Sus scrofa: one gene and its partners. The protein of the gene in region 1 purifies or fractionates together with the protein of each later gene. This does not show direct contact. Links are inferred from orthologs where the notes say so. Each region holds a gene or a part of one and is shown on either strand. Other genes may lie near its edges. The genes, in order: ZC3H18, KIAA1429, FUS, NCBP1, SRPK2, FNBP4 and NCBP2.

What was found.
Region 2: the proteins of ZC3H18 (region 1) and KIAA1429 purify together in Homo sapiens (affinity purification with mass spectrometry; 3 studies listed by BioGRID and IntAct, counting the BioPlex papers as one, with this or other methods). This does not show direct contact. The link is inferred for Sus scrofa from reciprocal best matches to the Homo sapiens genes ZC3H18 and VIRMA.
Region 3: the proteins of ZC3H18 (region 1) and FUS purify together in Homo sapiens (affinity purification with mass spectrometry; 3 studies listed by BioGRID and IntAct, with this or other methods). This does not show direct contact. The link is inferred for Sus scrofa from reciprocal best matches to the Homo sapiens genes ZC3H18 and FUS.
Region 4: the proteins of ZC3H18 (region 1) and NCBP1 purify together in Homo sapiens (co-immunoprecipitation; 3 studies listed by BioGRID and IntAct, with this or other methods). This does not show direct contact. The link is inferred for Sus scrofa from reciprocal best matches to the Homo sapiens genes ZC3H18 and NCBP1.
Region 5: the proteins of ZC3H18 (region 1) and SRPK2 purify together in Homo sapiens (affinity purification with mass spectrometry; 3 studies listed by BioGRID and IntAct, with this or other methods). This does not show direct contact. The link is inferred for Sus scrofa from reciprocal best matches to the Homo sapiens genes ZC3H18 and SRPK2.
Region 6: the proteins of ZC3H18 (region 1) and FNBP4 purify together in Homo sapiens (affinity purification with mass spectrometry; 3 studies listed by BioGRID and IntAct, counting the BioPlex papers as one, with this or other methods). This does not show direct contact. The link is inferred for Sus scrofa from reciprocal best matches to the Homo sapiens genes ZC3H18 and FNBP4.
Region 7: the proteins of ZC3H18 (region 1) and NCBP2 purify together in Homo sapiens (co-immunoprecipitation; 3 studies listed by BioGRID and IntAct, with this or other methods). This does not show direct contact. The link is inferred for Sus scrofa from reciprocal best matches to the Homo sapiens genes ZC3H18 and NCBP2.

Annotation. Positions count from the first base shown.
Region 1 is NC_010448.4:1,078,729-1,082,884, forward strand, and holds the start of ZC3H18 (zinc finger CCCH domain-containing protein 18), read right to left. Parts: upstream 2,801-4,156; 5' UTR 2,617-2,800; intron 1-2,616.
Region 2 is NC_010446.5:42,186,424-42,189,923, reverse strand, and holds part of KIAA1429 (protein virilizer homolog), read right to left. Parts: intron 1,517-3,500; coding exon 1,394-1,516; intron 380-1,393; coding exon 107-379; intron 1-106. UniProt on the Homo sapiens protein: Associated component of the WMM complex, a complex that mediates N6-methyladenosine (m6A) methylation of RNAs, a modification that plays a role in the efficiency of mRNA splicing and RNA processing.
Region 3 is NC_010445.4:17,323,766-17,328,034, reverse strand, and holds the start of FUS (RNA-binding protein FUS), read left to right. Parts: upstream 1-1,469; coding exon 1,470-1,482; intron 1,483-3,034; coding exon 3,035-3,059; intron 3,060-3,154; coding exon 3,155-3,309; intron 3,310-4,161; coding exon 4,162-4,269. UniProt on the Homo sapiens protein: DNA/RNA-binding protein that plays a role in various cellular processes such as transcription regulation, RNA splicing, RNA transport, DNA repair and damage response. Binds to ssRNA containing the consensus sequence 5'-AGGUAA-3'.
Region 4 is NC_010443.5:239,491,097-239,495,372, reverse strand, and holds the start of NCBP1 (nuclear cap-binding protein subunit 1), read right to left. Parts: upstream 2,801-4,276; 5' UTR 2,358-2,800; coding exon 2,324-2,357; intron 1-2,323. UniProt on the Homo sapiens protein: Component of the cap-binding complex (CBC), which binds cotranscriptionally to the 5'-cap of pre-mRNAs and is involved in various processes such as pre-mRNA splicing, translation regulation, nonsense-mediated mRNA decay, RNA-mediated gene silencing (RNAi) by microRNAs (miRNAs) and mRNA export.
Region 5 is NC_010451.4:105,261,890-105,265,928, forward strand, and holds the start of SRPK2 (SRSF protein kinase 2), read right to left. Parts: upstream 2,801-4,039; 5' UTR 2,786-2,800; coding exon 2,659-2,785; intron 2,380-2,658; exon of another isoform or gene 2,226-2,379; coding exon of another isoform or gene 2,210-2,225; intron 2,120-2,209; coding exon 2,065-2,119; intron 1-2,064. UniProt on the Homo sapiens protein: Serine/arginine-rich protein-specific kinase which specifically phosphorylates its substrates at serine residues located in regions rich in arginine/serine dipeptides, known as RS domains and is involved in the phosphorylation of SR splicing factors and the regulation of splicing.
Region 6 is NC_010444.4:14,919,533-14,923,032, reverse strand, and holds part of FNBP4 (formin-binding protein 4), read right to left. Parts: intron 2,197-3,500; coding exon 1,886-2,196; intron 1,764-1,885; coding exon 1,619-1,763; intron 1,219-1,618; coding exon 875-1,218; intron 1-874.
Region 7 is NC_010455.5:133,183,709-133,187,208, reverse strand, and holds part of NCBP2 (nuclear cap-binding protein subunit 2), read right to left. Parts: intron 810-3,500; coding exon 628-809; intron 1-627. UniProt on the Homo sapiens protein: Component of the cap-binding complex (CBC), which binds co-transcriptionally to the 5' cap of pre-mRNAs and is involved in various processes such as pre-mRNA splicing, translation regulation, nonsense-mediated mRNA decay, RNA-mediated gene silencing (RNAi) by microRNAs (miRNAs) and mRNA export.

The DNA of each region.
Region 1 (4,156 bases):
ACGCGGAAATGGAAGGACCTGCGGTCGCGTCCTCACCGACTCCTAGGCTCACAATTTTCAGTTTCTTCTGCTCCCACAATCGCCCCATAACCCAGCATTACTGGCAGAGTTTAGAAGGCTTTAGTGCGTTGATCCACAGACAGGAACTCGCCTGGAGAACAGAAGAACAAGGGCCAGAGAGTCCCCAGAGCATGTTAGATTTAGTGACGGTCACTGACAGCTGCCTGTGGAGTCAGTGACAAGTCTCGCACTGGATCAACTACTTCCTGGGCACCAGGAAGACATGGGAACCAAGCGTCTCCTTTTTTGAAGAGCGCGCTGGAACTCAGACCCCGCGGGTGCTGTCCTGCTTCCCAGCAGTCGCTCTGGAAGGCTACACCTGGACTCCAAGTGAACGGCACGTGGGAACTTTCCTTCCCGAGTGACCTTCCGAACCTGCAGCACCTCCCTGGCACTCTCCATGGCAGCACATCTTCCTCCTCTCAAGTGGCATCACTTTGAGAAACCAGTTCAGAGCCTGGCACTCTCCAGGGCAGCATGTCTTCCTCCTCTCAAAGAAACCAGTGCAGAGCCTAGTCTGGTCAGTGGGGTGAGTTCCCAAGCAAGGTAAGAGCATTTCTGGTCACACGTGGGGTGTGACCACGGAATGAGACTGATACATATCCCAAACAAGGCTTATATATTTACTACAAAAACAGGACTTCGAAAGAGGTTTGGCAAAGGAGCGCCAATGAATATAAACATAACCATCCAGGCTAACAACTTTTAATAGAGCAGCCCTACCTGAATGCTCAAGTCTGGTACGCCTAGTTAAAATGCAGATTCAGGAGTTCCCGTCCTGGTACAGCGGAAACAAATCTGACTGAGAACCATGAGGTTGCGGGTTTGATGCCTGGCCTCGCTCACTGAGTTAAGGATCTGGCGTTGCCATGAGCTGTGGTATAGGTCACAGACGCGTCTCGGATCTGGCATTGCTGTGGCGGTGGCGTAGGCCAGCAGGGCAGCTGTAGCTCTGATTGGACCCCTAGCCTGGGAATCTCCATATGCCGCGGGTGCAGCCCTAAAAAGCCAAAAAAAGAAAAAAAAAAAAAAAAAAAAAAAAAGAAAATGCAGAATCAGGAGTTCCCGTCGTGGCGCAGTGGTTAACGAATCCGACTAGGAACCATGAGGTTGCGGGTTCGATCCCTGCCCTTGCTAAGCGGGTTAACGATCCAGCGTTGCCGTGAGCTGTGGTGTAGGTTGCAGACGCGGCTCGGATCCCGAGTTGCTGTGGCTCTGGCGTAGACCAGTGGCTACAGCTCCGATTGGACCCCTAGCCTGGGAACCTCCATATGCCGCGGGAGCGGCCCAAGAAATAGCAAAAAAAAAAAAAAGACAAAAAGAAAATGCAGAATCATAACTTCATAGACTTAAAACATCCAAAGGAAGGATGTGTGGGTTGGTGACAGACACTGTCCCCAACCTGACCAAGCCTGACCCCAAATGACCCCTCAGGGAGGATGCACTCACTCACCTCGAGATGATCAGTGAAAAAGGAAAAAAAAAACAAACCCAAAAACTCTTCTGCTCTCGGGAACGATTCCACAAAGTTTTCATAAAATGTTTCACCATCTCCCACCTCAAATTGGAGAGGCTGAGGGGTTTTAACCTCTGGGACACATCTGAATGGTTTCAGAGCTGGCTGGGCTCCACACATGTGTTCAGACTGTAAAATCACTAGGAAAAGACTTCCTGTTGGGGAAATGGGAATCAGCCCAGGTCCAGACTCACCCTGAGAATCCCAATCTCCGCTCTGGGAAAGGACCACTCCAAAGGCAACGTGAAGATGAGAAACCAAGAGAGCCACTGCTGTGCCCCCAAAAGCCCTCTCCTTCCATTCTCCCCAAAGAGATCCGAAGGCTGATCTACTCTAACAGATGGAGCTGAACAGCTCACTTAAGATAATCGACCATTCTACCTGGCCAACTCAGCTGTCGTAAGAATTCAGGAAAACTTGAAGTTTTCGCAGGAGCAAAGCCGGAAGTCTTAAAGTCTGACGTCCCCCCAGCAATGACCCGGCATCCTTTGGGCTCCTTACCAAAGGAAAGGAAGTTTACTCCAAAGAGTGGCGCGCATCTTGGGGCGCAGCGCATAGGTCCAACCTGTGCCACCGGGAAGCCGAGGGGGCAAGTTCCAAGAGGCTCGAGAGAGTTCAAAGCTCCTGAAGAGCCCATCCCCAGTCCGGAGGGTGAGCCTGCGTGCCTCCTTCCGCCGCCCCCTCCCCCGGTCTTTGTAGGCGGCAAACACTGCCACGCGGATGTCCCGGAAGAGAAATGACAGCTTCGGGAGATCAACTCCACGGCGGGCGCGGAGGCAGCCGCCGTGCGCTCGGGCTAAAGGGTTCCAGGGTCCCCGGCCGGCTCGCAGCGAAAGGAGCGCAGGATCGTGCCTGAGTCAACGTCCTCTTCCTGGGGCTCGAGAACCACGCTTCGGCCGCGGGCAGCCTGGAGCGCTCCCCGGAGGCGGAGGCGGCGGGGCTCCCCGGCCTCCGCTCCGCGCCGCCGCCACGCTCCCCGCCCGGCCGCCTCGGCCTCCTCCTTCTACCCGCCCCGCCTCCGTGGTGGCGCCACCACTTACCTTACGAGAGCAGGGAGGGGGGGCCACGGCTCCGCGGAGGTCGGGGCGGCGTGGGGAAGTCGTCCCTCGACCCTTCCGCTCCTCACAGGCTCCGGCTTGAGGCGCGACGCGGGCGGAACAAACGGGCTCCACTACCCGCGGGGGCCGGCCATTGTGCGACGTCATCAGGCCGCGACGGTTGTCCTGCGGGCCGGGCGGGCTTACCTCTCTTGCCCCGCCCTCCGCCCGCTTCCTTCCGGCCTCCGCGCAGCTGCCTCCTCGCAGCCCCGCCCCCGCGGCGCGCGCCCGCCTGAACCCGACAGGACGCAGGCGCGGCCGAGGCCCCGCCTCCCGGGCGGGTCTCAGGACGCGCGCGCCGGCCGTCGTGCGGCTGGGAGAGCTTCCCGGGCCTCCGGGTCACGTGACGCGTGAGCGCCGGCGGGTTCCCGCCCCGCTGTGCGAGCTGCGCGCGGAGATGGGTCCCGGGGAGGTGGGGCGAAGAACTTACCTGCCCCCTTCCGGGTGGGGAGCTTCCGCGCAGGGGGGCTGCGCACCCAATCCAAAGTTAGTCCTTTCAGGGAAATGAGTTTATTTTATTTTTAATCTTTTCAGGGCGCACCCGCGGCTTATGGAAGTTCCCAGTCTAGGGGTCAAATCGGAACTGTAGCTGCCGGGCTACACCACAGCCACAGGAACGAGGGGGCAGAGCCGTGTCTGCGACCTGTAGCACAGTTCACTGCAGTGCCAGATCCTTAACCCACTGAGCGAGGCCAGGGATCGAACCTGCTTCCTCAGGAATGCTAGTCAGATTCCTTTCTGCTGAACCACGACGGGAACTCCAGGAAATGAGTTTAAATAACGAAGATTAAACTTTTTAAACTGTTTTGGGGGGATTAAATCCCCCCTTCCGTTAGATAGAATCAGTTCAAAACAAAATGATCATTTTCGAGATAGCGAGTTAAAATGTCAAAGCCTAGGAGTTCCCGTGGTGGCACAGCGGAAATGAATCTGACTAGGAACCATGAGGTTGGGGGTTTGATCCCCGGCTTCGCTCAGTGGGTTTACGATCCGGTGTTGCCGTGAGCTGTGGTGCAGGTCACAGACGCGGCTCGGATCTGGCTTGCTGTGGCTGTGTCGTAGGCGGCAGCTGTAGCTCGGATTAGATCCCTAGCCTGGGAACCTCCATCCTGAGGGTGTGGCCCTAAAAAAAAAAAAAAAGTCAAAGCTGAAACATTTGAAACTATTTCTGTGTAACTAAATAGCTATTGCTTTATCAAATATAACTGATCCAACACAAAACAATCATTTTTGAGATACTGAGTTTAAATGTCAAAGCTTAAACTTTTTAACTATTCCCAATGTTGTTTAAAGAGAAACAGCTCTGATTAGACCCCTAGCCTGGGAATTTCCATATGCCTTGGGAGTAGCCGTAAAAAGACAAAAGACAAAAAAATAAAAAATAAAAAAAATTTTTTTAAATTAAAAAAATGAAAACAACAGCCCCAAAATGGAGTCACTTATGCTAAGCCTAACCAGACTTCATGACTAATCTAATTGAAAT
Region 2 (3,500 bases), on another chromosome or scaffold:
CTTGAAAGCCATTTATCTCTGCTATAAATTCTTTTGCATTGCTCAAAGCTACATCAAGCTAGTTTCTAGCACTTAAAACCAAGACGTCCTAGCTAATTTAACCCACCTTCGCCTTCTTCATCTTCTTCACCTTCCTCCTCTTCATCTTCCTCTTCCTCTTCAGGGATACTATCTACTGTATGGCGATCATCCTCATCCTCATCCTCTTCTTCCTCTACATCCCCATCATCTTCATCATCTTCTACTTCCTCTTGCTGTTCCTCTTCTACTTCTCCTTCATCAGAATATTGACCTTCCTGGGGAACAGAATTCCGATCAGGAGAAATGGGCTCAAAGTAATCTTCTCTATGAGGAGCATCTTCTTCCTTGTCACCAGACACTAAAAAATTGAGATTTAAGGCACAGATTATTTTAATGGCTTAAATAACATGAGGCAGAAGGACTGGTATCACAACTACTTAATGACATCATGGATGACTTAGCTCATAAACACTGTTTTTTAAAAAGTAGTAGAGGAGCTCCTGTCATGGCTCAGTGGTTAATGAATCTGACTAGCAGCCATGAGGTCTCAGGTTCAATCCCTGGCCTTGCTCAGTGGGTTAAGGATCCAGCGTTGCCGTGAGCTGTCCTCCAACTGGCCTGGGAATCTCCATATGCTGTGGGTACGGCCCTAAAAGAAAGCAATAAATAAATAAACAGATAGCAGTAGAATTATTTGCTTCGAAAAAATATTAAGAATATACACTGCACAACCTTATACAGTGAGAATTAATAAAGTATGCTATTTTATGTTCTAATTCAATAATCTTCTTTTTAGCTATTAAGTAACTATACAGATTTTTATCTCTTCCAAGTCTTACATTTTATGTACATACTAGTGCTGTTCTGTACATACCGCTATAGCACATTAACATTTTATTTTCAAAGCAATGTTGCTTCAACATTGCCAATTTTTTTTTTTAAACAAGTTCACGTGCCAACAAAAAAAACTGCAAGAAAACACTGCACGGGATGGGGGCAGGACAAATTCATTAAGATTTGATTACCAGCATCTAAATTTTTTTTCTTTAATCAAAAAGTACTATTAACATTAATCTTGGGAGTTCCCGTTGTGGCTCAGTGGTTAACGAATCCGGCTAGGAATCATGAGGTTGCGGGTTCGATCCCTGGCCTCGCTCAGTGGGTTAAGGATCCATTGCTGTGAGCTGTGGTGTAAGTCCAAGACGCGGCTCGGATCCCGCGTTGCTGTGGCTGTGATATAGGCCGGCAGCTGTAGCCCTGGTTCGACCCCTAGCCTGGGAACCTCCATATGCTGCAGGTGTGGCCCTAAAAAGGCAAGAGACAAAAAAAAAAAAAAAAAAAAAAAAAAAGGTACCATTAATATTTTTTCTACCTGGCAATGGCAAGGGATCATCTTCATCATCATCAGGTGGAGGGGGTCCTGGTGGAGTTCTCGGTCCCCTTGGCTGTGGTCTTGGAGGGCTTCCATTAAATTGATCTTCCTTCTCCCCATCAGCTAGTTTTATTAGAGACAGAAAAAGAACTTTCAAATTATTAAAGTATAGTGAAAACAAATGCAGGACAAAAAAATGCTATTCATCATTTGAGTTTTCATCTTCAGAATTTATAAACTTCCTTTCTGATGTCTAACAGAAATTTTGTGAATTAATTTGTATGGGGAAAGTGAAAATTTCTGAGTTCCCATATGCCAAAATATAATGTATATAACTTTTGTGCATTATCCCAGAGAAATGGAGACTTATTTTCCTGAAAGAAAGATGTAACAAATGCTCATAATAGCTTTATTTGCAAAAGTCAAAAACTGGACACTATGACTGAACAGTTAAGTAAACTATAATACATCTATACTATGTATTACTACTCAACAACAATAAAGGATGATCTACTAATACAAAAAGTAGATAAACTTCAAAGAAATTATGCTGAATGAAAAATGCCAATCTCAATGTCTTGATTCCAACTTCATGATTCTATTTTTTGGTAATAGTCATGAAATAATTACAGAGACAGAGACTAGATCATTGATTGCCAAAGATTAGAACAGATAAGATGTGTGTGGCTACAAAGAGGTAACACCAGGGAATCTTTTGATGATACAATCAAGAATCTGAACTGCAGAGTTCCCGTCACAGCTCAGTGATAACAAAACCGACTAGTATCCATGAGGATGCAGGTTCAATTTCTGGCCTTGCTTAGTGAGTTAAAAAAAAAACTTAACTTCAGTAATGGTTACACGAAACTAGACATGACATAAAATTACAAAGAGCTCTACACACACAAACACATAAGTACGTGAATAAACGGTGAAATCTGAACAAGCTCTACAGACTGTAACAATGCTAATTTTGTTTTGATTTGTACTAGAGTTGTAAAAGATGTTAACACTGGGGGAACCTGGGGAAGAGCGCACAGGACTTCCCTATACATTTCTTTGCAGTATCCTGTAAATCTACAACTATTTCAAAATAAAAAGTTAAAAACATATACACATATACACAAACATATGTACAATATATGAGCTTAAGTGTTCATTTTACATCTCTCTCTGTGTTTGTTTTTAGGGTCTCACCCAAGGCAATCGGAGGTTCCCAGGCTAGGGGTTGAATTGGAGCTACAGCTACTGGCCTACACCACAGCTGCAGCAATTCGGGATCCAAGTTGCACCTGTGACCTACACCACAACTCACAGTAACTCCAGATCCTTAACCCACTGAGCAAGGCCAGGGATTAAACCTGCATCCTCATGGATATTAATCGGGCTGTTACCACTGAGTCACAATGGGAACTGCCATTTTATTTCATTTTCAAACAAGTCAGTAAATTCAACAAAACTTAGAGTAACTATACATAAGTAACATACATGTCAGACAAGGTGATAAGACTAGACACAATAGAAAAGAATAATGAGGAGTTCCCGTCGTGGCACAGTGGTTAACAAATCCGACTAGGAACCATGAGGTTGCGGGTTCGGTCCCTGCCCTTGCTCAGTGGGTCAAGGTTCCGGCGTTGCCGTGAGCTGTGGTGTAGGTCGCAGACGCGGCTCGGATCCTGCGTTGCTGTGGCTCTGGCGTAGGCTGGCAGCTACAGCTCCGATTAGACCCCTAGCCTGGGAACCTCCATATGCCGCGGGAGTGGCCCAAGAAATGGCAAAAAGACAAAAAAAAAAAAAAAAAAGTGAAAAGAATAATGAGGAGTTCCCGCTGTGGTTAACGAATTCAACTAGGAACCATGAGGTTTCGGGTTTGATCCCTGGCCTTGCTCAGTGGGTTAAGGATCTGACGTTGCCATGAGCTGTGGTGTAGGTTGCAGACTCGGCTTGGATCCCATGTTGCTGTGGCCCTAGCATAGGCCAGCAGCTGCACCTCCTATTAGACCCCTACCCTTGGAACCCCCATATGCCTCGGGAGCGGCCGTAGAAAACACGAAAAGACAAAAAAAAAAAAAAAAAAAATGAAATCAGAAATGAAAGTAGAGATATT
Region 3 (4,269 bases), on another chromosome or scaffold:
TTCCCAGGCCAGGGACTAAACTCTGGCTGTAGCAGTGAAAGCACCTGATTCTAGCCACTAGACCACCAGGGACCTTTCTCAATACTTTCAGCTTTCCTTCTCCAGGCAAGGCTGATGAGAGTGCAAGTTGCAAGTTAATTTGAATTTCATGTTTTGTCCTTTTTCTCATAAGGAGTGAACAAGCTTCAGAACACTTCAAAATGTCTGTATAACTAACAAAAGGAGTATTTTGCAGCCACACAGACCTGGATTCGAATTAGACCCCTTACATTTGGCTGTTCCATAATCATAGATTGCATTTGGCCTGAGTCTCATTTTTTTGGTGTATAAAAGATAGCCTTGCTATCTTTCTTCGTAAGATTGTGATGGAAAAGCAATTAATTGGGCTTTTTTTTTTTTGGCCGCGCCCACTGCATGCAGAAGTTCTGGGGCCAGGGAGTGAACCCTTGCCACAGCAGCCACCTGAGCCACAGTAGTGACAACGCCAGATCTTTAACCCACTGTGCCCTGAGAGAACTCTCTAATTGTGCATTCTGAAGCCACTTCAGCCCTATACAAATATCAATTATTGTTGGATCTGCACATTGATTCCTCCGTAGGGTTTCAGGAAAATACTCCCAGCCCTTTATCAGCAAAAGGCTGGGAGAACCCTGATATAATCTCAATCTCCGGATTGTTTGGGCTTTTCTGTCCAACAGCGAGTCAGAAGCCAAGCTTTGAGGTTGTAGGTGGGCCATAAATGCTTAATCAAAACAGGACCCAGGGGTCCGAGCTAAACTCCATGCTTGCTTTCACGTCAAACGTCACAATCCACAAGCCCTGGTAAGGACAACCCTGAAAGACGATGAGTGAAAACCAAGACGAAGAAAGGTAGTGTGTGTGGTCGGGGGAGGGACGTTAGAACCAAGAGAGGGAGGCTGGCGCGGGAGGGAGGATGCATCTGATGCAGTGGAAGGGCAGTGGAGCGGAGAAGCTCGCTATCCGGAGTGAAAGTGAGGCCCAGCGAAAGGGGCCAGCCTGAGGAATTTCGGTTCCCGCCCCACGACTCCCGGCTTTGACTACAGTTCCGCCCGCAGACGCCCTAGGCCCCTCGCCCCGCCCCCAGAGGGTAATCGGACTGTACCATTATGATCTTATAGGGGTGGAAGTGAATCTTTGGCTCGTCCTTCAGAGAAAATATAAATTATTTCTCAGAAAAAATAAGGCTATATATATTATTTGCATGGTTCTTAGTGAATAACAATTATGTTCTGCCGGCTAGGACCCTATATATTCCCTGAAGGGCGGCAGGAGTCCGGCCATGCTTCCCCTTTTCCTTTCCGCATTTGGTGCATTCCCCCAGGATACGTAGGCGGGGGAGGCGTACATAAACCTCGACGCAGGAGGCGGGGCTGCTCAGTCCTCGAGGCGTCGGTGCTCAGCGGTGTTGGAATTCTGTTGCTTGCCGGCCTGTGCGCGCGTGCGCGGACATGGCCTCAAACGGTATGTAAGTGCGCGAGGCGGCGGTGGCGCGCCAGCCCTGGAGCTCGTAAGCTCCCAGTTGGGCTTTTGTTTCTCGGTGGGGCCCGGGCAGCGATCGCATGTAGGATCTTCTCCGCACCACTGGCGGGAAGCAGCGGAGAGGGGTGGAAGGGGGAGGCCGATGTCGCCATTTTGTTTCGCTCCGCTGGCGCCTCGCGCAGGGCGGGAGGTCTTCCCTTTGCAGCCCCTTTCCTTTAGGTGAGGGTTGGGAGGAACTCTTCTTGGTGACTGGGGACGTGAGACGCGGATGGAAATGCTTGGTCCCCGTAGCCTTCTCTCCTCCGCGTCTCCAGCCCCGCGCTCGGGCCCGCTTTGTCGCAGTGCTGCATCCGGGCACTCGGTGCGCGCACGCGCTCTACTGGCCCCTCCCCCCTTTTCTGGCGGCGCGAACCCCCCTCCCGCCTCGTGTCGGCCCTGCTTTTTGTCGCGAGACCCTCCACCGGCAGCTCCGCGGCGCTCGTCCGGTGTGGGCCTCGCTCCCGGGGTCCCTCGGGAAGGGGCGGGACCTCCTCGTTCCCGCCTCGCGTGCCACGCGGCTGGGGGCGGAGGCTTTGGATCGGGACCGCGCGCCCGTTTAACGGCTAGGGGTGGGGGGCTAGGGGGTGGTCCAACGGACTTGGGGACCGGGTGAGGCTTTTCCCGCCTAAATTTTCCTCCTTGGGAGGTAGGAACTGAAAGGAACGGCCGCCTTAGGCCACACCCTCTCCCGATCCTTTTGCCGTTTCCTGCGGGGAAAGCTGTTTCCTGTATCGAGATGAGTTGATCAGGCTTGTGCTGTCTTCCTTGTGGCGTTTTCGTTACCTTGGATTCGCCAAGTCTCCCCGCAGCCCCGAGGCAGGCAGGGGAGATAGGAACTCGTTGGGAGCCGTAGGGCTGAGGACCTGAGTACCAGTCGGCTTGCCTCTCGAGGCGACCGCTCTTTGATGGCGATCTCTGTCGTTTGGGGTCAAAGAATTCTCCCTTCTTGGTGAGCTGGCTCTGCACTAAAAGCCCCCTGTTCCTGTCTCCAAGATTGGATGGAGGGTGGCCTCTCTCCAGATCTTGAGACTTTCTTTGGGTTGAGAAAGTGCAGGCTACAATCGGAACGTTTTTGCTTCTGGCTTGCAATAAAGCCTGTTCTGCTCAAGCAGCTGTGTGGCTTCAGTTGGACTCTTGGGGATACCTTCCTCATAGAGTGGGTGTGAAAACATGTGAGTCAGTTTGTGCAGTTCCGGATATCAGTTGAAGTTGCAGAAAAATGGTAGTTGTCCACCAGGACTCTTGCTTTTTCCAGTACTTAAGGCCTCTTGGTCTCGGTAGAAATTCGCTTTTTTGGTGTGTCTTTATTGTGAGAAAACTTGACTTTGGTCTGCCGTCTTGCCCCTCTCAACTAGGGTTTCAGGAGGGGATTTCTGCCTTGTCAATTTTCACATCTAGGGGCTCTGGGGCTTGAGTTGAGGCCTTTACCTCTAGTTTGTTCTCTTAGGGGTGGCTGAAGGTAATGTTAATATGATTGTATTTTTCTGTTTTGCAGACTATACCCAACAAGCAACCCAAAGGTGAGTGTCATTTCTGGGTTTCCAGAGTTTGTAGGGGGCAAGGGTGGCTAAGGTGTCTTTTCCTGAGAGCACCGTTGTTGCCTTTTCTTCTCCAGCTACGGGGCCTACCCCACCCAGCCTGGGCAGGGCTATTCCCAGCAGAGCAACCAGCCCTACGGACAGCAGAGTTACAGCGGTTACGGCCAGTCAGCGGACACTTCAGGCTATGGCCAGAGCAGCTATGGCAGTTCTTATGGACAGACCCAGAACAGTGAGTCTTTTTAAGTGGGTCACCCTTCCTCTTCCTGCTTTTTCTGAATGTTGCTTTTCTTAAACCTAAGCAGTGCTGAACTGTTGAAACTGTCCCCCAGTTTCTTTGCCCTTAACCAGTCTGTGATCCTTCAAGCTACTTAGAGTTTGAGTTCTTTCCAAGTACTTAATTCTGTTTCCTTTTATTTTCTTTGACTTTGCATTTTTTGATTTATGCTGCACTTCTCCCTGTTTCCCCTAAGAATGAAAGTGAAATTGGGGAAGAATATTCCCTAAAGGGAAAAGAGTTTTAAGTTTTTGATATTTAAAAGGAGAAAATGGGGAGTTCTCATCATGGTGCAGCGGAAACAAGTCGACTAGGAGCCATGAGGTTTCCGGTTTGATCCCTGGCCTTGCTCAGTGGGTTAAGGATCTGGCGTTGCTGTGAGCTGTTGTGTCGGTCACAGACGCAACTTGGGTGTGATCCTGTTGTGGCTTTGGTGTAGGCCAGCTGCTGCAGCTCCAATTCGACCCTTAGCCTGGGACTCTCCCTATGCTGTGGGTGTGACCCTAAAAAGCATAAAAAAAAATAAAAGGAGAAAATGATTTGCTTGAAGACGTTGGAAATCAGCATACTGTATATCACATTGATACACAAAGAGGTGGAATTTGCCCTTAGGTGCTGAAGGGTAAATAATCTGAGATGTACATCACAGGCTGGTTAAATGCTGTTAAAGGAGAGGGATCTCTTGGGCTGTGATTGGCGGTGGTTCAAGAGGCTGGCTTCAGGTGTAGGTAGCATTAGGGATGTATACAGTGTTTCATCAACCTATTCTCATTCCTCAATTCATGACTTTTTTTCTTTTTCTCGTAGCAGGCTATGGCGCACAGTCAGCTCCCCAGGGATATGGCTCAACTGGTGGCTATGGTAGTGGCCAGGGTTCTCAATCGTCTTACGGGCAGCAGTCTTCATACCCTGGCT
Region 4 (4,276 bases), on another chromosome or scaffold:
CTATAGCCACTGGCTTACACCACAGCCACCGCCACGCCAGATCCAAGTGATATCGGTGACCTACACCATAGCTCATGGCAATGCCAGATCCTTAACCCACTGAGAGAGGCCAGGGACTGAACCTGCACTCTTATGGATGCTAGTCAGATTCGTTTCCTTCCGCTTAACCATAATGGGAACTCTTTTTTTTTTTTAAACTCCCAATATTTCTGATTTTAGCAGAAATCCTAGCTGATCGTTACCCAAAGTGCGGCAATTTACTGAAGTTCCAGGATAGTATCTAAGAGGAACTATTAACTGCCCCTCTACTACTAAATTATTCATAGTAAACTTTGATTAACTCCTTTTTTTTTTTTTTTCTTTTTAGGGCCTCGCCCACAGCATGTTGAGTTTCCCAGGCTAGGGGTCTAATTGGAGCTACAGTTGCTGGCCTATGCCACAGCCACGCCAGATCCAAGCCACGTCTGCAACCTACACCACAGCTCCTGGCAACGTCGGATCCTTAACCCACTGAGAGAGGCCAGGGATGGAACCCGCAACCTCATGGTTCCTAGTTGGATTTTGATTAACTCCTTATTTTCTTTTCTTTTGTCTTATTTATTCTGAGGTTCCTGCAGCAAGACCCAAATGGACAGTGCTTTAGCTGCCAGAAGCTAACTCCTAAGAAAGTTATGCTAGCATCCCAATAACCAAACTACATATTCACATCGAATTCTCCAGGCTGTCCTTTGGAAACACTCCCTCTCCTTTTAGGAATGCCCTAGAAGGGAGAAGAGAAAAAAAAGCACAAGAAGAGCAAAGAAAATGGGAACAACTTTAAATTTAGACTCAAGTTCTCCAAATACCAAGTGATGACTTCTAGGAGATTTAGGTTTTTAATTAATCAAATGCAAAGCACATGAAGACTATTTTCTGTGCTCTGTATGTACATTATACAAGAAGCCTCCTGTGATTAAAAAAAAAAAAATCAAAGCATGCAGCCTACTATACATGTGTAGCAAAAAGAACCTTGGATTTGCTTTCACCTGTGTCTGGGCACAGCCATCTCCATTAATTATACTAAATCTAGACCCTTAGGTGTCAGGTGACAAGACTGGACTAGACTATCCTCTCAAGCCATGTCCTAGCAGAAAACTGATATTTCATTGTTAAAATTAAGTAGGTGGGATTTGGTTCCTACCCTCGAGTGCCCCAACATTCAAGGAGAGAAAAATATAAGTGGAGAAAATTAATTAAATCCAACTTTTTGATCCGTATTTTTTTCCTACATCGTTGACATCTGCCAATGCTTATCAATTCTTAAGCATTAACAGATGATAAAATACATATCATCATGAGCAATTAGTTACATATGTTAATCCTCACAAAACCAAGAACAGGCATGTATCATTAATCCAATACTACAGACTAAGGTTTAAAGAGGTGATATAATCTGGGCAAGATCACAAAATAAATGGCAAGGTCTAACTTTGAACTTAAACCCTCTGTCTCCAAAGTCTGGCCTCTTAACCACTTTACAACACTATTTTCAAGTATTAATAACTAAATTATTTTTAGTTTCTTTTTGCTTTTCTAGATGTGTATTCTTGACTGTTGTTTTTTTAATGTAAGCATCGTTTCCTATTTTTAACTAGCTAAATTATTCCTGGTTTCTATGACGGCAATTCCAGGATCCCCATGAGTGCAAATATCCAAATGGGAACCCCGATCTAACCTCTACGAGCTCTCTAGTGAGTCTTCTGGCATTCTTTTCTTAAACGAGAGAAATAAGCTTACAACCAATTCAAGATCTAACATAACGACCTACGTATATCTATTTATTAAAGACTTCTCGCGTGCGGATAAGAAGCTGATTTTTCTTCCCCAGTGGTTTGAAAGAAGGCAAAACCCCGGATGACCCGCACAGGAGAGCTGGGATTGCAATTCATCAGATCTCTCACCTTCCGAGAGCCATTAATACATGATGTTTGAGGGTCAAAACGAGACACTGGGACAAGTGAGTCCTGGTCACCGTCTCTAAGGGGAAGCGGCACAGACACAAATATACTTCCCTGCTCGGCGGTACCAAGGACCTTATCTTAAAGAGTGCTTAGAGACCAGGGGTGCACCAGGCCTCCCCTCCGCCGACGACTCAAGAGGTGCGGTGGGGGATAGCACGAGCTTTCCAGCAGTCGCCCAGCCACACTCCCGCTGTGCCACCCATCTCCCCGCAAGTTCCTGGGGGAAGGGCTTCCCGTCCCTTCGCTCAGGACCTGAAGACCGAAGAAGCCAAACCTCGGCCCCACCTGGGCGCGGCTTCGGCGGCCAGGCCCAGAGCACTCACCATCGTTCTCGTCGCTGTGCCGCCGCCGTGACATGCCGCACGTTGTGTATGCGGCGGAGCCTAGACGCCGGGCGGGAAGAGCGGCAGGAACCGTCGGGCAGCCGGCCGGCGCGAGGACAGCGGCGAGGCTCACGAAGTGGCCCGCGCGCAGGCGCACTCGCTCGCGACGGCTCCCGGAAGCGCAAGGGGGAGAAGTGGCCGGGTGGGCTCGGCGGGCTCGGATCCCGGAGAGCCGGCGTCTGGAACCTCACCAAGCCACTGCCGCCTCGTCCGCACGCAACCGCCCCCTCGGGCTGCCTCCGCCTCTCCGCTGCTTCCTTCGCCCGCCTCCGCGGGAAGTCCTTCCGGGGCCACGCGGAGAGCACCGCCTCCCCAGGCGGCCGGAGCCCGCAGGCCGCGAGCCACGCCTTGGCGGGGGTGGTCTAGGAGGGACGCTCTAGTTCAGACTCCCTCCACTTCAGACTCCCCCCCGGGCCTCTCAGTGGTTTTCCCGGCGGCCCTTTCGCTAACGGCCTAGACTTCCGGGGCGAGGTGAGGTCCCCGGCGTTCCTTCCTACGTAAACAGGGGCGGGGGCTGGAGGTGCAAGGGTGGTGAGAGGTGACAATTGCTAGGCGGAGACGGTTTGGTGAAGAAAGATCTAAGAAAGGATCTGGACTGGCGGGTACGTGCTCATCTTTCTCCCACTTCCGGGCCTCTGCCGACTCGGGAAAGCTGGGAGGAGAGATTGGGCCAGGCCCGGCGCGCGGGGTGGGGCCCAAGCGGGAAGCGGCGCCGCTCGAGCAGCTCTGGGGACCGAAAGACCCTGCCTAGCTTGAGCTTGCTGCTCTGCGGTTAGCTTCTGACCGTCGTCTGACCTCTCGCCCCTCTGAGTTGTTGATCGCTTTAGTAATGTTTCCAGTGGTTATTGGATACTTCCATTATGTGTATGTGAATATTCTCCGCCCTGACCTCTGTGGTGAACACCACGGCTGCTTATCTGCTTTGTCGATGGCCATTTGAAATTTCACACGCGTGAAATGAACCTTTCATTCTCCTAGCCTAACCTAGCCTAACCTATTGCTCCTTCACTTTTACGCATCCATCCGATTGCTTAATCCAAAAATGTAGGTAGGAGTCATTCTTGGCTCCTTACTTACTACCTAATGAACTATCAGTAAACCTTATCAGCTCTACTTTCAAAACCGATCTGGAATCAGTTACTCCTTTTTTACTACTCTCTCATGACTTTGCGATGTAAAGTAACCTGACCTACAGGGTCCTACTCTTTTATCACTATGCTCCAACAATTCTTACTTTCTTCCTGTACCTCCAGTAAGGCAAGCTTGTTCACCCTTTAGGCATTTATATTCCTTTGCCTGAAGATTTCTACCCTTAAGTATGCATGGATGGCTCCTTGGCATTTCAGTCCCAGCTCAAGCATCAGCCCCCTTAGGAATCCTTCCCTGGCCACCCAACCTTTTACTCCATACCACAAATATTGTATTTATTATGTGCCAGGCAGTGTTCTAGACATTGAGGAGGCTGAGGTGAACGAAGGAAAACCCCTGCTTTCTCAGTGCTGATGACCGGTTGAGGAATCCAGCAAACTGCAGTCAGAGGTGGTGGGCAAAAATAGAAAAAGATGCGATTAGGGTGTGGTGGGAAAGGCTTTATAAGAACCTTGGACTTTATCTGATGCCTTTAAAAGCCTTTGGAGGGAGAGATCTGACTTATTTTTAAAGTCACCCCTCTTGCTCTTACGGGAGAAGGGCAGTTAGGCAATTGCAATAATTCATGCAAGAAATAATGGTTGCTTAAGTGGGGTTGGTAGGGAAGGTAGTGCAGTGTCATCTGATGTGATTATATTTCAAAAGCAGAATTGACAGGATTTTCAATACTCTGAAAGAGTGAGGAGACAAGAATCCCAAAGTTTTTTCCTGAGTAACAGGAAGAATGGAATTGTTGTTTACAGA
Region 5 (4,039 bases), on another chromosome or scaffold:
GGCGTTGCCGTGAGCTGTGTGGTGTAGGTTGCAGACGCGGCTCGGATCCCGCGTTGCTGTGGCTCTGGCGTAGGCCGGTGGCTACAGCTCCGATTGGACCCCTAGCCTGGGAACCTCCACGTGCCGCAGGAGCGGCCCAAGAAATAGCAAAAAAGACAAAAAAAAAAAAAAAAGGCATGCATTTTTCTTTTTTTGGGGGGGTGTCTTTTTAGGGCTGCACCCACGGCATATGGAAGTTCCCAGGCTAGGGGTCAAATTGGAGCTGTAGTTGCTGGGCTACGCCACAGCAACGCAGAATACGAGCGTGTCTGTGACCTACACCACAGCTCACCGCAACGCAGAATCCCCAACCCACTGACTGAACCTGCATTCTCATGGATACTAGCCGGATTCATTTCCGCTGCGCCACAAGGGTAACTCCCAGCATGTCTTTTTCAACTTCTATTAACTTTTCTGAAAAAAAAAAAAGGGGCTATGCAGGAATAAACTCTTTGAGTTGAAAGTTGTGCTCCAAACCCAACACTCAGGATCCTAAACATTACAGTCCTTACTTATGGGCTTTCCGTCGTTCACCAAAAGAAATGCCTAATGTAAGGTTCTGATTGAGAGCATTAATTTTTAAAGCATCTAAAACTATCAAATATCCATTGCTATTTAACGTTTCGAGAATGTAATACCCAATTTTTACCCACCAGTTCCTTAAGTCCTTAATAAGTACTTCTTCCTCGCTCTAGTAGGTTTTTCTTTCTTTTTTTTTTTTTTAAGGCATTATGATGTTGCTACGACATTTTGTGAAATGCTGAACATACTTTCAAGTTATATTCCGGTTTGAATGAACAAAAATCCTATCACGATACATTACATTAATAGTAAAGACTTAGGCAGTTTTCATAGACGCCACCAATGGGTGTGAAATTCGCTAAGCAGAAATCAAGGCTAATAGGAAGGGGAAAAGCCTAGGAAGGCTGCAGGTTCGTCCCCTAAAGAAAACAAACAAGAAATATTTCGTGATTTTATTTAAAGATGATGATGGGCTATCCCTATAGTAGCAAATTTAACACAGGGTATTTCTTGCTCAAATGGAAGAGGGAAGCCACAAATCTGGGAGAAGGAGTAAAGATGTTGAACGCTGATAGATTCTTCAAAACCAGGAAAGAAAGGGAGAGACACGGCGGCGCTCCGCGGTCCCGAAGCAGCTCTCCAGGAAAGACTTCCCGAGCGCCGGGCGCTCCCACTCCGGTCCGCGGCCAGGCTGGGGGTGGCTGGCGGCTGGCACGTTTTAAATATCACCACCCCGTTCGTCGCCTCCCAGCACAATGAGGGGCTGGGCAGCCGCGCCGAGGACCGCCCGCGCACACGCCCACCGGTCCCGCGCAGCCGGAGACCCGGGCGCAGCCGCCGCGCAGTGAAGGCACGCTCGGCCCGGGCAGAAAGTTTCGGAAAAAAACCCAAGCGCCGAAACGCACAGGTCTCGGAGCTGAACTCGAGCCAGGAACACGCCCGAGGCAAACCACTTGACAACCAGCTCGGGTTTTCAGCTGAAAGGCCGAAAGGTGGGGGCCGGGGAGGAAGAGGAGGAGACACCCAACACACACACACTCTTTCTCACACTCCGTTCCTCTTCCTCTAGGGCCCAGGTGGCCAGGTGGGAGCAACGCCGCAGCCTCACGCCGGCACTCGGCGCGGCGGGGCCGGGCCCGGCCTGCAGACGCCACCGCCCCTCCCAGGAAGGCCCGCGACCCCCGGGACAGCTCGGCGAGCCGGGGACGTTGCGCACGCCCGGCGCCTCCTCGTCCGTCAGCCCCCTGTGCCTTGGGACCCAAGGGGCCGAGGGTCCGGGATGCTCAGCGGGCTGGCCGCGGGCCAGCGCGCCCCTCCCCCGACCGTCAGCCCCTCCCCCCGGGCAGCCCGCGGGGCGCGCTGGAGGCGAGCGCCGGCGTCCCGGGGGATCAGCCCGCCCGCTCGCCCGCCCCGGGGACCCGAGCAACTTTCCCCTGCGCGGCCGCGGGCTACCCCCGACCGGGCAGGGGCGGGGGTCCGGAGACTAGCGCAGCGTGGACTCACTTTTTCGGATGTTTCTCTCTTTTCGGCCTCCGCTTTCGGGCCTGAATGGCCAGCACTGAGGAAAGAGAAGACACACATTAACGGTCGGGCAGACCGGCCTCAGGGGCCGCGTGGCAGGGAAGAGAGGACGCCACGGGCCACTCACCTTTCCGGGAGCTCATCGCGACGCAGCGGAAGCGGGGAGGGGGCTTCGCGGCGGCAGCGGCGTCGGCGGCGGCGACGCGGGAGCCGAGCCGGGATGCAGCCACCACTCGTTCTGCCGGCCAGGAGGAGGCGGGGACCGCGCCTGCGCCGCCGCCGCAGCTGCCGCTCCAGCTGGGGGCCCAGCAAGACCCGCCCCCAGCCGGCCCCGCCCCCGCCCCGCCCCCACCCACCCGGTGGGGTCCAGACCCTCCGCGCTGTCCCTCCCGCGCCACCCGTACCCACCTGCACCCACCCGCCTGACTCACCTGGGCGAAAATGACCCCCCCCCACGTCCACCGCTGCTCCCGCCCCCGCCGCCGTCTGGGCCTTCGGCTCCTGCGCCCCCGCGTTTGGCCCAGGCCTCCTTCCTCTCCCCGGCATAGGGCCACGAGCCATAGCCCCTCTACCTACCCCGGCCCGACGCGCTGCCCGCCTCTCCATGCGCCTTTCCTGGGCCAGCGCCTCCATGGGTCTCACACCACCTCTCCTCGCGCGGCCTCTTTTCCCCCTTTGCTCCTCTACATCCTTGCATCCCCATGAGCGCCGCTCCCTCCTCTCCGGCGAGTGTGTAAAGGGCACAGGACCAAGAGCTGGGAAACCTGGGTCCTTCAATAGCTGTGTGACCTTGGAAAAGTCATCTTATTTCTCACCTTTACCCCAGAGGATTGCTCGAGTGTGATGAAGGAAACGATGCAAATAGCATGGAAGGTTGAATTAAGTGTTTGCACACGAATCAAAGCCCAGCTCTGTAAATACCATAGGTAACAGTTTAATTCAACAACCCACCAAAGGAGTTCTTTCTCCATCTTACGAAGAGGAAACAGTCCTGAAGAGGTTTACCCAGCAATGATTCAAATTTAGGCCTAGCTGACTCCAAACTCACGCATCATGTTTCCTAATCAAGATGACTGTGAGAAAAATAACTGCAGAGGTCCCTTGTTCATTTAAATAATTATATTTCTGAAAGAGATTCATCCTGACCATTTAATCTCAACTGCGCTTTTTTTCTTTTTTTTTCTTTTTAAGGCCATCCAGGGGCATATGGAAGTTCCCAGGCTAGGGGTTGCATCCAAGCCTCATACACAGCCTACACTGCAGCTTACCCCTACAATGGATCCTTAAACCATTGACCAAAGCCAGAGATCAAACCCACATCCTCAGAGACACTATCTCGGGGTTCTTTACCTGCTGAGCCACAACAGGAACTCCATCATCTGTAGTTTTAACTGATCAGAATAGCTGCTCTGAAATATTTATTTTATGGAGTTCCCATCATGGCACAGTGGTTAACGAACCTGACTAGGAACCATGAGGTTGAGGGTTCCATCCCCAGCCTCGCTCAGTGGGTTAAGGATCTGGCGTTGCTGTGAGCTGTGGTCTAGGTTGCAAACGCGGCTCGGATCTGGCATTGCTGTGGCTTAGGCCAACAGCAAAAGCTCTGATTAGACCCCTAGCCTGGGAACCTCCAAATGCCACAGGTGCAGCCCTAGAAAAGACAAAAATAAATAAATAAAATATTTATTTTAAAGATGCTAGTTCCCATCCTGGCTCAGTGGTTAACGAATCCAGCTAGGAACCATGAGGTTGCGGGTTTGATCCTGGCCTTGCTCAGTAGTTAAGGATCCGGCATTGCTGTGAGCTGTGAGCTATGGTGTAGACCGGCGGCTACAGCTCCAATTAGACCCCTAGCCTGGGAACCTCCATATGCCACAGATGTGGGCCTAGAAAAGACCAAAAAAAAAAAAAAAAAAAAAAAAAAGTATGATTATTTTAAAGATGCTAAACCCGCTGG
Region 6 (3,500 bases), on another chromosome or scaffold:
AGCCCAAGCCACAGCATTGACAACCAGGCACCCCAATAATAATTTCTAAAAGAAAATGTACAACAACAATGGTTGGTGAGCATTTGGAAATATCAGAACCCTTGTACACGTCTGGTGGTAATATAAAATAGTTCAGCCACTGGGGAAAAACTTTGACAGTTTCTAAAAAAGTTACACAGAATTACCATATGAGCCAATAATTCCACTCTTAAAATATATACATACCCCAAAGAAATGAAAACAAGCACTCAATATGCATGTTCACATAGACTGTTCATAATAGCCAAAAGAAATAAAACAATACAAATGCCCATCAGCGGATGAATGGATAAACAAATTGTATATACACACATGGAAAATTATTCAGCCATAAAAAAGAAGGAGGTCCTGGTACACATTACAATATGGATGAACCTGGAGATTTAAGTGCTAAGTGAAAGAACGCAGATACAAAAATTCACATATACACGATTCCAGAGCAGGTATACTGGTGAAAACAGAAAGCTGACCAGTAGTTCCCAGGGACTAGGGGAAGGAGTTAATGAGGAGTGACTGATCTTTTGGAGTTAGGAAAATGTATGTAGCCAGAAAGAGGTGGTGGTTGCACCACACTATGATATATTAAATGCTACTGAATTGTCTACTTTAAATATTACTTTGATAACGCAAACCTTGTCTTTTTTTTTTTGGTCTTTTTAAGGTCTCACTTGTGTCATATGGAGGTTCCCAGGCTAGGGATAGAATTGGAACTGCAGCCGGAGGCCTACACCACTGCCACACCAGATCTGAGCCGCGTCTGAGCTCAGAGCAACGCCGGATTCTTAACCTAATAACACAAATTTTAAATAAAAATTTAAAGAGAGATTTACCATACCTTATCTTTCTTTCCTTTTTTGGTCTTCTCAGGTGGTGGCACTTTGGGGGCTGGTGGTGGTGGTGGAGGAGGAGGAGGAGGAGGAGGAGGTGGTGGTTCTATAATGGCAGTGGTAGGCACAGCACTCCGGGCCTGAACTGGCTGCAATGTGGGGGCAGTTACTGCCAATGGGACAGAACATTCAGCATAGCTCATAATTGCAGGAGCTGATGCCAGTCCTAGATAATTTGATTGTAGATTCATTCCCCTGGCCTGATGACCCATTCCTGTTGCTGGATGGCTAACTGCTATTGTTTGGTGTCCAATTCCTGTGGTCTGGTGTCCAATCCCTGTTGCCTGGTGACCTAACAGAAAATACGTGAAAAGGAACTATAAAAAGGACATTGTGAAAAAGCCAAAAACAAGGAAAAGAAAGAAAAGGAAATTGAGGGTTAGAACACCCACAAAATGACTCTAATACACCTTTTCCTCAAAAAACATAGCCACATATTCTGGTGGCAAACTATTAATTTCTGAACATTTTAACATTAAAATACTTAAACATCAAGATCACTGATGTTAGGTAAATGTACAGAAAACAACATAGAAGGATATATGCCAAGCTCTTAAGAGTGGTTTTTAGTAACTGAAAGAAACACACACACAGTCTTTGTAGTGAAACACATTGTGTTTCTTCAATGTCTATCTTATTCTGGAAACAAAGATAATGCACTGATGAAATTACCTTGTAAACACAATGCTTACCTGTAGCCATACTTGACTGGCTGTAGAGGACTGGAGAACTACCTATGGTAGCTGATCTCTGAACTACTGCAGTACTCATTTCTGTAGCTTTTCTCTTTATTGCTTTAGTGGAAGGAGAACTAGAGATGGTAGAATCAGCTGAACTCTGAAAAGGAGAGATTCTAGTTAGTGGCTCAAGATCTGGTTAAATACCTTCTAAAATAAAACATGGTGTCAGTCATCCCCAGGTCCCCAAGACTCTTCAGAATGCCACATGGCCTTTCTCACCTGGCTAGTGACAACTGGGGTTTGTGCTGAAGGTTTCAATGGCGTATCCTCCTCTGTTCCTGGGGCAGGAGGCTCCTCACTTCCCTCATCCTCCATCTCTACTTCCTGAATCTCACCATCTTCTACTGGAGGAGGAGGGGGAGGAGGGGGAGGAGGGGATTCTGGAGGTGGAGGTGGAGGTGGTGGCATTTCCAAAGGTAATGGAGGTTGAAGCACAGGCACATTTGACTGAAGGAGGGTCCAGAATGGAGTAAGTGGCATGAGTGACGAAGAAGAAACTTGACCAGAAAAGGATTCTTTACAAAGGGAACCTACGAAAACAAACAGGAGTCAGGGGAAAAAAAAACAAGCCTAAAACTTAAATGTTCAATTGGTGAGACACAATCTGTCCCACACACATGTATTCTACACTGACGTCACTGAAATATTAAACTCAGTTCAAAAATGACTTCCACGAAAGATAAATTTATAGAATTTACAGTTAGCACTGGCCTTAGCTGTGTTGTATCAGTTTGTTTTGGGGGGGGGTCCAGGTTTTATGGATGAGTAAATGAAGCACATCACATTAACTCAGTAAAAAATTCAGTCATTTGAACCTGAAGTTTTTTATTTCAAAGATATACAACCAGAAGGCAACACTTGGGATCTTTTCTGTCAAAAGTGAAGGAGTGAACGATGTGCATTTTCAATACTGATTCCATGAGTTTATTTTTCAGTGAGCTAGATAAGTGATTAGGGATGATCCAGAGAAGTACCCCTTCAAAATACTCCAGCAAATTCTACCCATTTAAATTAATTTGGGTTACTAAGTTAAAAAAATCCATTTGCAAGGTGATATTGTCAACTCTATCATTTCTTCACACCTTTGTGTGAATTATTCACTTGCTAAATCACAGTAACAAATTAAGGAGGGTAATTTTTTATTTCTGTGATGAGAAAAGGGAAACTCATTGAAGAGAATGAATCTTCAAGGTAAACGATAATGATAAATGGTAACACACCAAAGAGGTATTTGAAGATACAGAGGACTTGAAATCGCTGTTGAAGTTAAAAAATTAATAGTTAATTACTGTCCTTTCTTTGCTGGGAAAAGCTCTAAAAATTAGAGAAAATAGGAAGATATACTTACTTGTAGCCTTCCCCATCCCTCTTTATCGTCAATAGGGAAGTTTCACAATATCTGGGACTATTAGATATATATCCCAGGAATGTTGAAGGGGATTTTCTCCCTAAAATCATAGAATTTAGGAGTAGAAGAAACATGAGAAATCATCTAATTTAACCCTCTCATTTTTAAGGTAATGAAACCCAGGAGGGAAATGATTTGCCCAAGATCACACAGCTCTTAATGGCCAGTCTGACTCCTAGACTAGTGCTATTTTAACAAGATGTCCTCATGAAACATCAAGGAGTCCAAGAGCTTTAGAAATTTCAAATAAATTTAACTTCTCATGGAGAAGAGATCCAGATACAGTCACCAATCAAATTTCTTGGTCAAAGCAGGAAATTAATTAAGGTCTCTATTATAAAAGGCTCTAGGACAAGGATAAGGCTTTTCATCTTACTGTGCTCAAAATATATCATGCTGGAACTCAACAATGAAAAACCAAAGCAA
Region 7 (3,500 bases), on another chromosome or scaffold:
TAAAAAGATAAAACAGACAAAAACAAAACACCAAACAAACAATTCAAGGCACAGAAAATTCAAAAGACATGTTAGATCAGGTCTGGGAAATTTCTCAAACAAAATGACCCAAAAAGGAAATATTAATTAAAAAAAACAAAAACATCAGGAGTTCCCCTTGTGGCTCAGTGGTAACAAACCTGGGTGTCCAAGAGGATGGAGGTTTGATCCCAGGCCTCACTCAGTGAATTAAAGGATCTGGTGTTGCCATGTGAACTATGGTATAGGCTGCAGATACAGCTTGATTTGGCATTGCTGTGGCTGTGGCATAGGCCAGCAGCTGTATCTCCAATTCTACCCCTAGCCTGAGAACTTCCAAAAGCCACAAGTGCAGCCCTAGAAAGCAAAAAGCAAAAAAAAGACTTAATCAACTACAAACAAAGCATGGATTTCAGAACAGAATATAAATGTTACCAGCTTTCCTAATATAAGAATACAGATACACTGGAGGTAAGAGTAGATGAAGGAAGGAGAGGTAGAGATAAGTGTCAGATGCTAATTAGTGAATATTCTCACTTATGTAACCCGCTACACTGCTACACTCGGGCCCACTGCTGGCCGCCATCTATAGACACACAGGAAGGATACTCCACAAAGCAAAACCCACACGCTGTTTTCTTCATTTTATCCAGGCCCATGATGATTTTCTTTATGTCACCACTTTTGCTGAAGAGTTCATAGATTTGTTCTTCAGTTGTATAAAAGGAAAGATTTCCAACATACAATGTACAGCTTTTCTTCAGTAACTTCTCCTGTTCTTCATTGTCACCCTAGAAATTCAAATGGAGAAAAAGCTAAGTAACACAATCTAAGGAGAGCCGTGCTTAAGTAGAATTCCTAAGTATGGGAAAACTGTCATTAATTCTGATTTGGAAATCAGTTTTTCTTAATCATCCCAACTCTCAATCATCCCTTGCCAAGGGTGTTAGATTCTAAGAAGAACTTTTGCAAGGCCCAGACTGCTTTTAGTAGAGGGCCACAGCTTAAGGTTATATACAGCCCTCCTTCTCCAACACAAGTGGTATGATTTTTGCCTGCATTCTCCATATTCTCAGCACTGGATCCTTCTCTAATGGCCCAAGTTTAATTTCAGGACCTTGAACCAATATACTAGAAATGACCTTTTTATTTTCTTTAGTGAAAAATAAATGGTTAGAGATAGGGTATTCCCTATATACTCCTATAGAGAATGTTCAGAGCAACAACTGACTGGATGATTTACATGCTCTTATATATTTTTTGCATTTAGGAGAAAATGTAGTGATCACCAAAAACAACAGATCTTACTATCTTGACAGGCTTCCTAATTTGGAAGACAGGATGAAGCCAAGGACAGGTGTGTAACAATCCTGTCCTGTGTCTGACAATCCTTGGGGACAAAATGGCTTAGCATGGGCTAGACACAGTATCTTACCTACCGTCACAAAAGTCAGTAAGTATGGCTGTCCTTAGACCTTCTCTTCTAGCCTCCACAATGGGGAGGACAAAGGCTGATTAAATAGGAGGTCTAGGAGTTCCCGTCGTGGCGCAGTGGTTAACGAATCCGACTAGGAACCATGAGGTTGCGGGTTCGGTCCCTGCCCTTGCTCAGTGGGTTAACGATTTGGCGTTGCCGTGAGCTATGGTGTAGGTTGCAGACGCGGCTCGGATCCTGCGTTGCTGTGGCTCTGGCGTAGGCTGGTGGCTACAGCTCCGATTGGACCCCTAGCCTGGGAACCTCCATATGCCGCGGAAGCGGCCCAAAGAAATAGCAAAAAGACAAAAAAAAAAAAAAAAATAGAAGGTCTACCAGCTGACCTGCTCTCAGGCCCCTCTGATCCAGGTTAGGGCTCAATCATCAACTATACATCAACTATATTCTAGCTTGGAAAGTAGCTAAGTAGATCCACACTCTTTGCCCCACAGCACTTTCCCAAGAGGCTCCCCTTATTATTCCATATATAATGATAATCCAGTTTCCTTTACTCTGAAAATAAGATTTTGCAGAGTTCCCGTTGTGGCGTGGTGGAAACAATCCAACTAGTAACCATGAGGTTGTGGGTTCGATCCCTAGCCTCACTCAGCAGGTTAAGGATCCAGCTTTGCTGTGAGTAGAGGTATAGGTCGCAGACAAGGCTTGTGTCCTGAGTTGCTGTGGCCTGTGGTGTAGGCCAGCACCTGTAGCTCCAACTCGACGCCTAGCCTGGGAACCTCCATATGCGGCAGGTATGGCCCTAAAAAGAAAAAAAAAAAAAAAAAAAAAGATTTTGCATCCATCTCTGAACGCTTTTAGCACAAGACTCAGAGTAATCTCATTCGGTGATCCCATTCAGTGGTAGACCAAAAACAGGAACCATCTAAACTCATGTCAAAAGGAAAATGATGAAAGATTGTGGTACATCAATAAGTATAAAACTATACAACCCCTAGAAAAATGTATTTCTACTGCAATGATACAGAGCATCTCCAAGATAGGGAGCAAAGTGGGGGGGGGAGGCACAGAACAATGTGAAGGACATGCTCTGAGTTATATTTCTTAGAAGTATAAATGTACCCAGCTACCATACATAAGAGACAGGTAATACGTTTGCCTCTAGGGAGAATCAAGAGACTACAGGTCAGATTGCCATGTATGAAGTCTCATTTACTTCTCAGAGCTGAATGAGGTAGGTCCTAATTTACTATTCTCATTCTGCATGAGGAAAGAGCTAAGTAACTTGTCCAAGTCACACAGCTCATCAGTAGTTGTAGCTGGAATCCAAACCCAGTCTTCAATACCCTATTTCCTTAAAAAGTTGACAGGAATCATTCTATGTTAAAAATAGGTTTTTTCAGGACTTTGAAATGAGAATTAAATAATTTATATTACTACTTTATATTACCGACTTGTTAAAATTATGATCAAGAGGCATATTCCTTTCTTTTCATATAAGTAGTATCCCAACATAGAGCCTACAATTAAGACAACTGTAGTGTACTTATTTAAATTAAGATAGCTGTAGTGTAAGTACTTATTTAAGGTATGATATTGGCCTCAAATTTCCTGTTTCCCTAGCCTACTAACACATTTTAAACATTCTCCACACCTACCCTCTTCTTTATGTGCCCACTCCTTTCCCAGTCACAGGAGAATTTTCTGAATTCTCACAGCCCCTCTCTTTCCATTCATCATTTCTGCTCTAGACTACCTGCCTCCACTGTAAATCCCTACACTTCCACCGTCCTTCCATTTACAATCCTATAAACCCTAGAGGATTATGAACTCTTAGGGTGTGGAAACTCTTCCCTCTCCCTCCAGAGTTTAGCAAAAGGCTTCAGCAACAGTACAATATAAACTTTTCAAATAACCAACAGTTAATAAGTGGCGCCTTCACCCCACCCCCACCTTTTTTGATACTGAAGACCTCACCTTAAAAACCCGCAGCCTCCCCCTTCCCACAGAATCTGCTATGATGTGGGCCAACCGAAAATTTCCCTCAGCA